Elephas maximus indicus: one gene and its partner. The protein of the gene in region 2 interacts with the protein of the main gene of each other region in a pairwise test. Links are inferred from orthologs where the notes say so. Each region holds a gene or a part of one and is shown on either strand. Other genes may lie near its edges.

Evidence for each region.
Region 1: the proteins of CXCL16 (region 2) and TMEM239 interact in a two-hybrid assay, tested with the Homo sapiens proteins (2 studies listed by BioGRID). The two-hybrid records come from large-scale screens. The link is inferred for Elephas maximus indicus from reciprocal best matches to the Homo sapiens genes CXCL16 and TMEM239.

The regions. Positions count from the first base shown.
Region 1 is NC_064843.1:41,403,406-41,410,446, reverse strand, and holds the start of TMEM239 (transmembrane protein 239), read right to left. Parts: upstream 2,063-7,041; 5' UTR 2,052-2,062; coding exon 1,593-2,051; 3' UTR 1-1,592. Other genes in the region: C25H20orf141 (uncharacterized protein C20orf141 homolog), read right to left, coding at 2,815-3,052, 3,150-3,415.
Region 2 is NC_064837.1:14,391,135-14,398,434, forward strand, and holds the start of CXCL16 (C-X-C motif chemokine 16), read right to left. Parts: upstream 3,020-7,300; 5' UTR 3,007-3,019; coding exon 2,937-3,006; intron 2,591-2,936; coding exon 2,461-2,590; intron 1,992-2,460; coding exon 1,909-1,991; intron 565-1,908; coding exon 169-564; intron 1-168. Other genes in the region: ZMYND15 (zinc finger MYND domain-containing protein 15), read left to right, coding at 3,430-3,690, 4,145-4,739, 5,168-5,402, 5,481-5,636, 5,891-6,051, 6,588-6,740, 7,072-7,152, 7,295-7,300. UniProt on the Homo sapiens protein: Acts as a scavenger receptor on macrophages, which specifically binds to OxLDL (oxidized low density lipoprotein), suggesting that it may be involved in pathophysiology such as atherogenesis. Induces a strong chemotactic response. Induces calcium mobilization.

The sequences.
Region 1 (7,041 bases), on a different chromosome or scaffold from region 2:
GCAAAGATGAAACCAGGTATTCGATAGGGTTGGAGGGATTATTCCTCAGGGCTTAAGTATTTAGGGAGCAGGAGAGGGGGACTTTGGGCTTAGGGCTGCAGGAGCAGGGATTTTAAGGTTAGATATAAGGTGGGGGTCAGGACTGGGCTGGGGCTGAGAAGGAGAATGGATTGGGGGTGGACAGAGGTTGGGAATCATTTCAGGGTCAAAGATTGGGTGGGAGTTAGGAGTGGGATGGGGGTCAGGTGGGTGGGTCTCAGCTGTGGGTAAGGTTGTCTGTCATATATCTTACTTGGTAATAACTAATCACTCAATGTTTTGTTTGGAGGGGTTAGATGATAAGTGAATGGCCAGGATCCAGGGCACCAAGGAATGGCACCTTCCAAGGCCCTCTTGGTTTAGAACTTTCCTGGATCAGTTTTGGGAACCCATGAGCTAGCTTTCCCTATTCACACAGCTGTATAAGCATCTCTTGGCACCAAGTCCCAGCCCCAAGCATTTCACCGTCAGAAGAGTCTTGCATCTGCACACTTTTGAGATTTCATGGCACGTGGCCTTTTCGTATCTTGTCCACACCCATCCATTTACCATCTTAGAGCCAAAATTCTATCTATAACAGAGCATTCCTCTGAAAGCCCAGGGAAGCTACCTGCTTTTCAAGGGCCTTCAGGCCCAAAAGACTCTTTGAGGCTACAGAATGTTCTTAGTGTTCAAAACAATATCTTACAGTTTTCTGGTCTTCACAAAGCACTTCACAGATAGGCATTGCCTTTGACTCACAACAACCCCATGATAGGGTTGGGACCCATTTAACACTGAGACTCAAGGAAATTAATTGGCCAAGGTTACACATTGTGTAGATGCGTAAAATGGGACTTATTTGTTTTTCCACAACAGGCCTGGAGAGTCTTAACAAGTGAGTAGCTACTCTCTGGGAACCTCACTACCCTAGTTGGCTCATTTCCCAGACCTGGGGATGTAGACTGAAACAGGAGAAAAGGAAGTCTAGGAAACAGGGGATGCCTGGGTGGAAAGGTCTAGAAGGTGAGTTGAGGTCTCAGGGGGGTTTCTGCCAGTTCCTCTCCCACTAGACTTCTATCAGTGAGGCTCTCTCCTGATCTGTGGCACCTCTGAAAGTGGGAAGAAGCATTGGTGGGAGAAAATGGAGAGTCCAGGGGTAGCCAGGTGGAAGTTCTAGGTGAGGTCTGAGGCTGAGAAAGCTGAGCAGTTGCAAGAAAATGCTGCCAGTTGCCAAGGGGCACCCAGTAGTGTCACCACATCCACATGGGAACCCTCAATGGCTTGGCCAAGCTCTGCCCCCGCTTAAGCCTTCTGCCCTATCCCCTCCTCTCAAAGTCACTGTCTCCCCACACCAGGTACCTGAGGCATCAACTTGAGGCAGGCACTAGAGATCAGGCCAGTCTGTCCTGTCAGCTCCAGAAACACTACACAAGTTTCGGCCCCATGCTAGCATCTGGGGTGCTGGGGCCTGCTGAGGCTATAAGGTCCTGGTCCCACTGCCCTCCCTCTCCCCAGGCCTCAGGCCCTAGGCCTGGGCTCAACAGACACAGGCAGCGGGATGGGGTTGCCTTCTATTGGTCCAAGTCCTGAGTGTGGCCAGTGTGAGACATGGAAGCAAGGAGACCCACAAGGCTCAGCAGTGTGGAGAAAAGCAGCAGGAAGGAGGCGGTGAAGAGCATGGCGGGGAGGGCACTGAGCACCAGCAGCAGGATGGCAGGCAGCAGGTGGCGCCACGCTGCAGCCACAACAGGCCACAGGGAGCTTAGCAGGTGGGAGCCAGTGGTGAAGAGAGCGTGGCACAGCATCAGCGCCAGCAGCAGGTAAAGCATCCCCTCAAGGCCCCATAGCACACGTTGCAGTGGTTGCCGCCAGCTGGATGTGGCCCACCACTGGGCCCAGCTCCGAGGCACATGGCATGCCCACCAGCGCGCCCAACCCTGCCGCGAGACCCAGGCCGACCAGGGCGCCACAGGCTGCAGCCCCTCACCGGCCCCGATGGCATCTGTGTCCACTCGCGGCTGCTGCATCATGGCTGGTGCACCTGGGGAGAGGGCCGGGCCAGTTGCAGGAGCAGCCCTGCAGAGGCTTGCTACCTCAGGTAGGTAGGGGCATGGGGCTCAGGAAGGCACCAATGTGGTTGGGATAGGGCAGTGAGCTGGGGCCCGGGACTTACCTCTGGGCAGAGCCACCTAAGTCATGTTGCTTCCTGCAGTGCCCAGGACAGCCCAGTAGCTAGATCCGAGGCCCCAGTCTTGCCCACCCCCACCCTCCCCAGAGGAGCCCTATTGTGACCCGGGTCCGGGGTGGGGTCCAGCCAAGAGAGGAGCCACTGTGGACCCTCCAGGCAGGCAGGGGAGCCAAATGAGCCCTTGGCTGCAGTGTCTAATACTTTCTTGTGAGGAAGCCCTTCCTGGGTCCCCGACCCTTCCCTGCTGCCTGATATTCAGCCCCACACCCACTTTCTTGCAGGTCTTTCTCTCTAGACTGTCATTCTCTTGAACCACAGAGGGGGCGATATGCCCACCTCCAACCTGCAGGCTGAGATCAGTGCCACCTCCTGCCCCGGGCTCCCTGTCTCTCATCATACTATCCCTCACCTTCTCTCCCCAGCTGGGCCCCCAGATCAGACCTAGATGTCCACTGCCCACATTGTGGGGCCAGGGCTTCCTGGAGGTTCAGGCTCGGGATAAGGGGCACCTCCCTCCTGCCCAGCCCAAGATGAAGGAAAGGAGGCCCGAGGAAGCAGGATAGCCAGTGTATTTTGGGAGGGCACGCAGTGTTTTGGGAAAGCGTTCAGACCCAAGGGTGGAGGCAGAAAGCCAGGCCAAGCAGGGCCAGGGGCATGCCCTGGGCCCCCAGGAGCAGACCCAGGCCCAAAAGCAGCAGTAGAAGCGCATCTTGGAGACTGACTTGTCTTATGACTGCGACCGGTGTCAGAAGCAGAGCCCCCTGCTGTCCTGGACCTTCACCGGCTCCCTGACTCGGGCCCCCTGCCAGAGGCCTGTGCTGCAGCAGGGTGGGAGCTGTGGGCCTGTGAAGAAAGAGGGAGGCAGCAGGGCTCAGAAAGGTTGACCACTTGTCCACCTGCCTACATGTCTCCCCACCTGCCAGGCCGCCTGGCCACTTACCCGTGGAGCAGATCAAAGGCAAGGAAATTGACCAGTAGCAGCAGCAGCAGCAGCGCTGGTACAGCTGTGAAAAGGACTGCTCGAATTGCCAGCCCCAGGGCCACCAGCCCTAGGGCACTGTCCAGGAGGTGGGCCAGGCTAGGGCCCCAGAGGAACACACTTGGACCCACTGGACTGCCTGACCCCTTTCCAGCATCCAGGTGCCTGGGAGAGACTGGAATCGGACCTGCCAGGGCTTGGGGCCCGGATAAGCAGAGCCCGGTCATGGAGGGATGTGGTGACAGGAAGGGTTAGTGCTGGGAGGGAATGTCAGGGGTGGGGGTGTGGGCAGGGGTGGGGCCCTAGCAGACTCTCAAAGATGAGCTCCGAGAGTGGGAAATTGGGCTTTAATTGGGCATGAACCTCCCCCTCCCCCCACACCCACCCACTGAACCCTCCTTACCTCCTCCCACCTGGCCAGCAATTCGGAGACTGGGAAGCTGGGCCATTGTGACCTGCTGCCAGGCGGAGCCCTGGGAGAGGGAGGAGGCTGCTGCCTAGTTCTGGCCTCATAAGCAGCTGGGAAAGCCTAGGTGGCTCTTGGCCAGAAATCAGTGATTTCTGAGAACTAAAACTCACCCTCCTTGCCTTGCTAACCCTTTGCCCCAGGGACCTCTCTTGGGGATCTGAGTTCTCGGGAAGACATTCTTACCCCATTACTGCATGGGCACTAGGCCAGGGGAGAAAAGGGAGGGCTACTGTCTTCCTGTGAGTTCCCAGAACTGTGTGTCCAGGGGCAAGTCATGCAAATTCTCTGTCCCCATGTCTCTCCCCTGAGAGTGGGTGATGCCTGTGGGCTCTTGGGGGGATTTGCCAGGGCTACAGCTCTGGAAGACAAAGAAACTCTGCCAGGAAGCAGCCTAAGGCTTTCTGGGGCTGAGCTCCCACATGACCTGCTAAATGGGGTAGGGGCAGGAGGGGGCAGTTCATGTGTTCTAAGCACTACAGTGTGCGGGAGGTGTTCTGGAGAAAGGGTCCCAGAAATGGAATAGAGGATGTGAGTGTAGGAGGGGTACAACATAGTAACCCCCTAAACTGGAGGCTAAGGTTACCTTCTGAGAATATTAAGGAAAATCAACATGCAATGAAGGGATCAAGGGGCCCTGGTGGTGCAGCAGTTAAGCACTCTGCTGCTAACTGAAAGATCAGCAGTTGGAAACCACCAGGCACTCCCGGGGAAAAGATGTGGCAGTCTGCCTCCATAAAGATTGCAGCCTTGAAAACACTATGGGGCAGTTCTACTCTGTCCTATAGGGTCATTATGAGTTGGAATTGGCTCAATGGCAATGGGTTTTTTGTTTGTTTGTTTAATGACGGGATCGGTCACCTAGAAAAGAAATCTGTCCCCACTGATAGTCTGTAAATGAGTGGTGGCTGCAGAAGTTCCAGCATGTCTCAGTTCAGTGACTTGAGAGGCAAGAGTGGAAATGGGTCATAATTGTTGTTAGGTGCCATCAAGTCAGTTCCGACTCATAGCGGCCCTATGTACAACAGAACGAAACATTGCCCGGTCCTGTGCCAACCTCATGATCGTTATTATGCTTGGGCCCATCGTTGCAGCCACTGTGTCAATCCATCTTGTTGAGAGACTTCCTCTTTTTCACTGACCCTCTACTTCACCAAGCACGGTGTCCTTCTCTAGGAACTGGTCCTTCACGTCCAAAGTATGTGAGATGAAGTCTCACCACCCTCCCTTCTAAGGAGCATTCTGGCTGTACTTCTTCCAATACAGATTTGTTCGTTCTTTTGGCAGTCCATGGTATATTCAGCATTCTTTGCCAACACCATAACTCAAAGGTGTCAATTCTTCTTTGGTCTTCCTTATTCACTGTCGAGCTTTCACATGCATGCAAGACAATTGAAAACACCATGGCTTGGGTCAGGCACACCTTAGTCCTCAAAGTGACATCTTTGCTTTTTAACACTTGGAAGAGGTCTTTTGCTGCAGATTTGCCCAGTGCAATGTGTCTTTTGATTTCTTGACTGCTGCTTCCATGGATGTTGATTGTGGATCCAAGTAAAATGAAATCCTTGACAACTTCAGTTTATTCTCCGTTTATCGTGCTGCTGCTTATTGGTCCAGGTGTGAGGATCTTTGTTTCCTTTATGTTGAGGGGAAACCCTGGTGGTGTAGTGGTTAAGTACTACAGCTTCTAACCAAGAGATCGGCAGTTCGAATCTGCCAGGCACTCCTTGGAAACTCTATGGGGCAGTTCTTCTCTGTCCAATAGGGTTGATATGAGTCAGGAATCGACTCAATGGCAGTGGGTTTGGATTTTTTGGTTTTATGTTGAGATGTAATCCATATTGAATGCTGTGGTCTTTGATCTTCATCAGTAAGTGCTTCAAGTCCTCTTAACTTTCAGTAAGCAAGGTTGTGTCATCTGTATAATGGAAGTTGTTAATGAGTCTTACTCCAGTCCTTATGCCCCGTTCTTCTTCATATAGGCCAGCTTCTTGGATTATTTGCTCAGCATACAGATTGAATATGCGAGGTGAAAGGACACAACCCTGATACGCACCTTTCCTGACTTTAAACCATGTGGTCTCTCTCCGTTCTGTTCCAATGACTACCTCTTGATCTAGTTCCTCATGAGCACAATTAAGTGTTCTGAAACTCCCATTCTTGGCAATGTTATCCATGACTTGTTATGATCCACACAGTCGAATACCTTTGCATAATCAAAAAAAACACAGGTAAACATCTTTCTGGTATTCTCTGCTTTCAGCCAGGATCCATCTGATATCGGCAGTAGTGTTCCTGGTTTTTTGTCCTCTTCTGAATCCAGCTTGAATTTCTGGCAGTTCCCTGTAGATATACTGCTGTAACCACTTTTGAATGATCCTCAGCAAAAATTTACTTGTGTGTGATATAAATGATATTGTTCGATAATTTCCACATTCGGTTGAATCACCTTTCTTTGGAATAGGCATAAATATAGATCTCTTTCAGTCAGTTGGCCAGGTAAGCTCTCTTTCAAATTTCTTGGCATAGACAAGTGAGCACTTCCAGCGCTGCATCTGTTGGTTGAAACATCTCCACTGGTATTCTGTCAATTCCTGGAGCCTTGTTTTTCACCAGCGCCTTCAGTGCAGCTTGGACTTCTTCCTTTGGTACTTGATCATATGCTACCTCCTGAAATGATTGAACGTCGACCAATTCTTTTTGGTACAGTGACTGTTTTCCCTCCATCTTCTTTTGAAACTTCCTGCATCATTCAATATTTTGTCCATAAAATCCATTACTACTGCAACTTGAGGTTTGAATTTTTTCTTCAGTTCTTCCAGCTTGAGAAATACCGAGTGTGTTCTCCTCTTTTGATTTTCTAACTCTAGGTCTTTGCACATGTCATCATAATACTTTACTTTGTCTTCTCGAGCTGCCCTTTGAAATCTGTTCAGCTCTTTTACTTCATCATTTCTTCCATTCCCTTTAACTACTCTACATTCAAGAGCAAATTTCAGAGTCTCTTCCGACATCCGTTTTGGTCTTTTCTTTCTTTCCTGTGTTTTTATTGACCTCTTGTTTTCTTCATGTATGATGTCCTTGATGTCATTCTACAACTTGTCCAGCCTTTGGTCATTAGTGTTCAACCCTTCAAATCTATTCTAGAGATGGTCTCTAAATTGAGGTGGGATATACTCAGGGTCATACTTTGGCTCTAGTGGACTTGTTCTAATTTTCTTCAGCTTCAACTTGAATTGCATATAAGCAATTGATGGTCTGTTCTGCAGTTGGCCCCGGCCTTGTTCTGACTGATGATATTGATTTTTTCCATAGTCTCTTTCCACAGATGTAGTCAATTTGATTCCTGTAAATCCCATCTGGTGAGGTCCACGTCTACTGTTGCCA
Region 2 (7,300 bases):
TCTCCACTGTGTAGCTTCTGGTTGAGTCATCCTTCAAGGCCTATGGTTCATGGTGCAGACAGCCTTAATATTTGTCTGCCTAGGTCAGCCACCTGGGAGTTACTGGGACAGGACCCCTGACAGGGAGGGTCTGGACTCCTGGGGGAGGGTGTCTGAGGTCCCCTTTACCTGGATAGTACAGCCTTGACTGCTCCCTCCTCCTCTTGCAGAGCACATAGAGGAGGACTGCAATGAGAATGAACGTGATGGCCAGGAGGGACAGCACCGGCACCATGGCTGACATCCCACCTGGAGGACCCACATTGTCTTCCAGCTGCTTCTGGTTCTCCCCAGCCTCAACTCCCAGAGTGGTGGCTTCACTGCAGTAGGTGAGACCTCTGTCCGAGGTTGGTGCTGCTGCTGGAAGGGAGGGCTGCTGGGTGGACTGCAGAGTGGATGGCAGGTATGTCAGGGCAGGCGTGCCCAAGTCTGAAGGTGCTTCATCTGTGGGCTCAGGAACCTGAGTTCTGAGGGGAGGTAAATGCTTCTGGCGGGCCTGACTTTCCCAGAGAGGACGTCCACATTCTGGAGAGGCAAGAAAGAAGGAATCAGAGATACCAGGCACAAGGTGAAGAAGCAAATAGAAGGGTAGTGAGTCAGGGAGAACATCAAGGGGACAGGTGAAGGCCAGGAGAAGAGCGGAAAGGTGGAGGACAAAGTCAGCAAACCGCAGGACTGAACCACAAACCACTGAACCATGAACAGAATAACCAGAAACCAAGAACAAGTGTACCTTCTGAACTGGTAAGTCAGGAGACCTGGTTTGAACCTTGGCTCTGCTACAAAGTAGCTGTGAGACCTTATGCTTGTCTGTTAACCTCTCTGGAACTCATTTTTTCAGCTATAAAGTGAGGATAATTTTAGTACTAAGGCCCAAGGTAGTTGAGGGAATTAAATGAGATAAAATAGGTTTGCATAGTCAAAAGGGTAGTATGCATACATACCATTAACACTAGGTGGGATGTGGGAAACTTTAGGTGGGCCATGAAAGAACGTTTTATATTTTAATGGTTGTGTGTTTATGAGAAAGATACAACTGGCACGTCAAAATTTGTGATTTCATGGCTGTTAGTGCTTAGGACAAGTTGCTATTTAAGTTTTTCAACAGTGACTTCTATACACTCAAGATTTTTTCATTGCATTGCATATAAATTTTACCTCAAAAGAAAAAAAGGAACCGTACAATACTGAACTCTAGTTAATAATACACATGCTAAGTGTTTTTGGATGAAGTATTGTAATGCCTGCAACTAATTTTGAAATGTATCAAAAAATAAGATGAAATGATGATGGACAGATAGATAGAGGTGGAATACAACAAGTTTGTTGTTGTTAGGTGTCATCGAGTCGGTTCCAGCTCATAGCGCGACCTTATGGGACAGAATAGAACTGTCCCCGGAGGGTTTCTGAGGAACGGCTGGTGGATTTGAACTGCCAACCTTTTGGTTAGCAGCTGAGCTCTTAACGACTACACCACCAGGGCTCCAAAGCAAGTTTAGTAAAATGTTAACTGTAAAATCTAGGTAATGAATACGTGGATGTTCACTGTGCAATTGTTTCCATTTTTGCATGTGTCTTTAAATTTTCCTATTAAAGATTGGGGGAACAAAAATATTGGCTTGATTTCAAGACAAATATTAAGTGAATAATAGCACTACTGGTAGGAGGAACTGGCAAAAAAAAAAAAAAGCATGAAGTTGGTGTGAAGTTTGGAAAACAGGGACTAAAGTGAAAGTACTTTGGCCAGAATCAGGAGGTTCTGGGAATGTGAGGTGTCACAAGGCAAAGAGGTGATTCAAAGAAAACTGTAAGGTGGAGTCAACTGAGCCCTGGAGGCAGAACCTGGGGAAGAAAGGGTAAGCCACTCACCTCCACTATCAAAGCAACTCATCAAATGAAGAACCCAGGGTTTGGTACTGCCCCCACACACAGTCCGGGAATGGAGCTCGAACCTAAGGAAAAAGGACCTGGTCTCAGCTAATGGCTCCTCCCTCCCAGTTCCTTCCTCATTCCAAAGGCATGAAGTCACCACCAAGAGTAAGAGCCATTTCTGCTGGGACTGGGAAGTCCCCAGGTAGGTGGGGCAGTGAAGTGTAGGAAACTGGGGCAAACATAACCCAGAAAGGGGGCTACATGTGCCCACAAGAAGTTTATCTTTGACCATAAGAGTGTCCTAGAGGTAGCTGGTGGAAATCCTGGTGGCGTAGTGGTTAAGTGCTATTGGCTGCTAACCAAAAGGTCAGCGGTGTGAATCCACCAGCTGCTCCTTGGAAACTCTATGGGGCAGTTCTGCTGTGTCCCTGTAGGGAATCAACTCCATGGCAACAGGTTTGGTTTTTTTGGTTTTTTTTTTGGTTAGAGGCACCTGGTAGGGAGGGACTGGACAGACACTGCCCTCCAAGGGGTGGGTGAGCAGATTACCTGACAAAGAGCCGACAGCATGTGTAGCCTTTAAGGTGTTTTCGGAAATGTTCCTTCTGTTCCATTGTGGGGGTAGAAATTAAACGATCACAGTAACAACTTCCAGTGACACTGCCCTCGTTGCCATCGCCTGAGCAGGACAAAAGTGGTCACACAGGTTCCCAGGCCGAGGGGCTCTCCCAGCCCTTACTTAGCCTCCAGCCCACTGCCCCATTGCACCTCTTCCCTAGACTCCTGGGCCAGACCCCCAGGTTCAACCCACATATCACTCATCCTAAAGACTCCATCATCCTACCTGGGCGCGGGTGCCTCTGTCCGCAACCCCAGGCAACTTGGCCCTCCCCTTGCCACCTTGGGGGCTCTAGCGCACCTGACTCCCAACTTATTCAACTCAACCCCCTTGCTCCAGTACTGCCCGCATGCCCCTACCACACAGTCACACACACACACATCCCTTTCCCCGGCCCTCGACGAACCTGGCAAGGTCAGTCCAGCTATCAGGAGGAGCAGGAACACGCGGAACTCGAGTTCGAGGCCCCGACACATCGCGGCACGCGCCAAAGTTTGGGGGCGCACCGTCTGACACCTAGGCGGACTCCAGCCACGCGCGGCGTCCGTCTGGTTTCCCAATGGCTTTCTCTTCCTTCCCCTGCTTGGCCGTGGGCGCCGAGTCGCGGCTGAGAAGCGGCCAGTGGCTCCCGACGCCCCGCCGTCTGAACGGACGTGCGCTCTGTCCCTCCAAGCCCGCCGGCCTCGCGGTGGGGAAACCCCGGGGGCGGAGCGCCCCGTCCCGTGGCCCAGCGCCGCCCGGGGGCCTTCACCTGGGGGCGGCCAGGAATGTCGGAATAAACCGAAAGGAAACAGGCGGCAGGACGAGGTGGGGCAGGCTGGCAGGGGCCCGCCGGGCCGATTCGGTTAGGGGGTCCTGCTGCCCGCGCGCGCCCCAGGCCGGTCCGCGGAAGCTGGGCGATGGAGAGCGACCCGTCCCAGCCTCCTCCAGCCGCCTTCACTTCCCCGCCGGGCTGCGGGCGCCGCGGGACGCAGCGCAGTCACATGGCACGGGGCAGAGGCCGAGGCCAGCCTCCCTCCCACGCACTCACCGCTCGGGCCTGGACCCGCGGACGCCACCGCCCAGGGGCGTGGCCACCGCGGAGCGGGCTGGGGGCGCGGGGGCCCTACGTCACGGCTGCCCCCCGTGGTATTTACCTTCGAAAGTGGTGGCGGCTGCAGGTACCGGAGCAGTGGGGCGGCGGGGAGGGGCTAGCTCTACCAGGGCTCAGCGTCAAACCGAGGGGATGTCCTGCCCCATTCCCTCCTCCCATACCCTACAGACAGTCAGGCAGACCCTCCCCGGTAGGATTAGCCATCCTCATCTCCACCCTCAATTCAAACCCTACTTTTGAGGATTCGAGTCCTCGAATTTTGAGCCCCAAAATTTTGAACCCTGAGTGCTCATCCTCAACCATAATCTCCCACTTTCAAGCTTCACCCCTATTCTGGTACCTGAACTCCCATCCTCAGCCCTGAAAACCCTATTCTCAGCTCCTAGCCCTCACCCGCAGATGGCTCCCCAAGCGACTCTCAAACCCAGCCCTTCCCCCGTTCGTGACCAAGCCCCAAACTCTCTTCCCACCACCCCCTCCCTCACCATATATCCCCCTTCCTCTGCTCCGTCTGGGTCCAGGCCCTGTGCCCCGAAGACATGGAGTTTGTGTCTGGATACCGGGATGAGTTCCTTGATTTCACTGCCCTCCTCTTCGGCTGGTTCCGCAAGTTTGTGGCAGAGCGAGGGGCTGTGGGGGCCAGCCTTGAGGGTCGGGGGCGGCAGCTGGAGGCTCAGATCAGAAGACTGCCCCAGGACCCTGCCCTTTGGGTGCTCCATGTCTTGCCCAACCGTAGTGTGGGTATCAGCCTGGGGCAAGGGGCAGAGCCAGGTCCTGGGTCAGGCCTGGGGGCTGCCCGGCTCCTAGGAGAGGAGCCCCCACTTCATCTTCGAGACCTCAGCCCATATGTCAGCTTTGTCAGCCTGGAGGAAGGGGAGGAGGAGGAGGAAAATGAGGAGGAGGAGAAAGGAGAGGATGAGGGTGCAGGCTCAGAGAAGGTGGAACCAGAGGAGGCTGGGGAGCCAGCCACTACCAGCAGGGAGTCCCCCCAGGAAGCAAACCCTCCAGGGGAGCCAGAGGAGGCTGAGCAGGAGGCAGGAGGTGGTGAGGATGGTTGCGGAGAGAACAGGGCAGAGGATGAAACGGGACCCGAGAAGAGGAAGGGACAGAGAAGTGGTAAGAACTCAGGGCTCGCCCTGCCCTACCTCCTGCCCAGCCAGGCTCCCTCTTCCAGAGCCCTCTCCTACCCTCCAGAACCCAGCCAGGGGTCACAAACTGATGCCCTTCAGGAGAAGTTTTCATTGACCCACGGTGTTTTTGTTTTTTTTAATTTGAGCCAACATTTAAACATTGAAAGAATAAAAATTCAGAAATCTGGATTTATACTTTTTCAAGAGAAATGTAAAATTCTGACAGCAGGCCTACATTTCTACGAGGCAGCAAATGCAGGCACTACATAGCAGCTACCGCTTCTCCATGGGGCCTGCCCTCTCCACCTCGTCCCTTTACTCACATAGGTTACTTAACTAGCCCCTGTAGGCATTTCAGTTTGGAACTCTGACCCTGACCATCTTTGCCCTGCTGCCTTTTCCCTCTTTCTCCAGAGGCTGCCCCCCTGCACCTTTCCTGCCTCTTACTGGTGACAGATGAACATGGCACCATCTTGGGCATTGACCTACTAATGGATAGAGCTCAGGGGAGTGCAGACCGGAACTCAGGAACGGAGAACCTGGCTCCTCGGGCATACGCTCTCCTGTGCCACAGCATGGCCTGCCCCATGGGATCCGGGGACCCCCGAAAGCCTCGACAGCTTACTGTGGGAGATGCCCGGCTACACCGGTATAGAAATCTGACATCTGAGGGTGGGAGGCCTGGACTCCTGAGCCCCAGCCTGACATCATCTCTGTCCCCATCCAGAGAGCTGGAGAGCCTGGTCGCAAGGTTGGGAGTGAAGTTAGCCAAAACCCCAATGCGGACATGGGGTCCCCGGCCAGGCTTTACTTTTGCCTCCCTTCGGGCTCGAACCTGCCATGTTTGTCACAAGCACAGCTTTGAAGTGAAGCTGACACCCTGGTGAGCAGCCAGCAAAAATGGAATGAGAGGGAAGAGGACCCCAATAGTCAGGCAAACAGAAAGCAGACTGGTGGGGGGCTCAGCAGGCAGACAGAGAGAAGAGTAGGGGGATGAAACAGGGACAAAAATACAACAAACAAGCTGTTACAGACAGTATACGGACAGACCAACTGCCATATGGGCAGCTTCAGGGCAGAGGGATAACAAAGGCCCTACAGTGTAGCACTAGGTGCCAGCCACCGCATGTCTCCCAGCCCCCAGTGTAGCGCTGTCTTGTACTGTGGAGAGGCTTGTCTCCTGGCCGACTGGCGGCGATGCCCAGATGATGTGAGCCACCGATTCTGGTGCCCAAAGCTTGCAGCCTTCATGGAGCGGGCGGGAGAGCTGGCAACTCTGCCTTTTACCTACACTGCAGGTACCATCCGGAAGTCAGGATGGGGCGGGGGACCAGGTCTGTGGGACTGAGACCTGAGTACCTAGGAAAGGGAACAGAGTCCTGGTATTGAAGGCTATGTCCTGGGGGCTGGGGTCTAGATCCCTGGAATAAGGACCTGGTGCTGTGTATGGGGCTGGGGGCTAGATCCCTGGGGCTGGAGACAGGGTCTCTGGAGCTGAGGACTGAGTGCCAGGGTTCCTGAGAGCTTAGGGGACCCCAGGATAGGGATTCAAACACTTGCTCCCTTCCCAGCTCCATCACTGGTGCTGTGACCTTACACAAATCACTTTCTTTCTCTAAGCCTCCACTTCCTCATCTGCAAAACAGGGATACAAAGAAATGTTAAAACCCTAGGAATTGTTATAAGGATAACATGGGCTCAGTGCCTGGTCCACTGTAGTTCCCTGCCTAATGAGAGCCAGACTCAGACCCGGGGTCCTCAGGGGAGGCTGAGGAGAGCTAAAGCCTGGGGTCCTAGCCACCAGGTCTTCAACCCCTCCCTCCTCCTTCTCCAGAGGTGACCAGTGAAACTTTTAACAAGGAGGCCTTCCTGGCCTCTCGGGGCCTCACTCGTGGCTACTGGACCCAGCTCAGCATGCTGATTCCAGGCCCCGGAATGCCCAGACGCCCCAGGGGCCACACTCCATCCCTCAGCCTTCTTCTCAGCGGTGCGTGGGGCCTCTCTTCACGCATGGCCCCTCAGCCCATGGCCCCTCAGCCTAGAGGGAAGTTGTCCAGGTCCTAGATAACCCCTCCACACTCATACCAATCCCCTTCCCTCCACCACCTTCCAAGGCCATTACAGGCCTTTCCCCAACCCTGGAAGAAGTTGCTCCTGCCTACCCCATCCAGAATCCTCTTCCCCAGGCAAGCCCCCATTCCACTTGCTGCAGCTCCAGGCCATCTCACAGGGGACACGGCTCTTTGGAAGGAAGAGGTGGATGGGCCAGGTGGGGGGCTCACTGACACCATACCCCCCTCTTCCTTTCATTCTCTCAGGGGATCCTTACCAGCTTCTCCAGGGGGATGGGCCTACCTTGATGCCTCCTGTGCCCCCAGATCCACCCAGGAGTCTCTTTGGTGAGTTGGAGGGGCCCTGAGGGAGCTAGGGGCAGGGACAGGGGCTGGGGGGCCAGAAGCCTAGGTCCCTAAGAAAAAGGGGGCCATTATTAGTCTGAGCAGTTGGGGTCTGGGCCTGGCGCCAGGTCCCCCTGTAACCCAGTCTCCC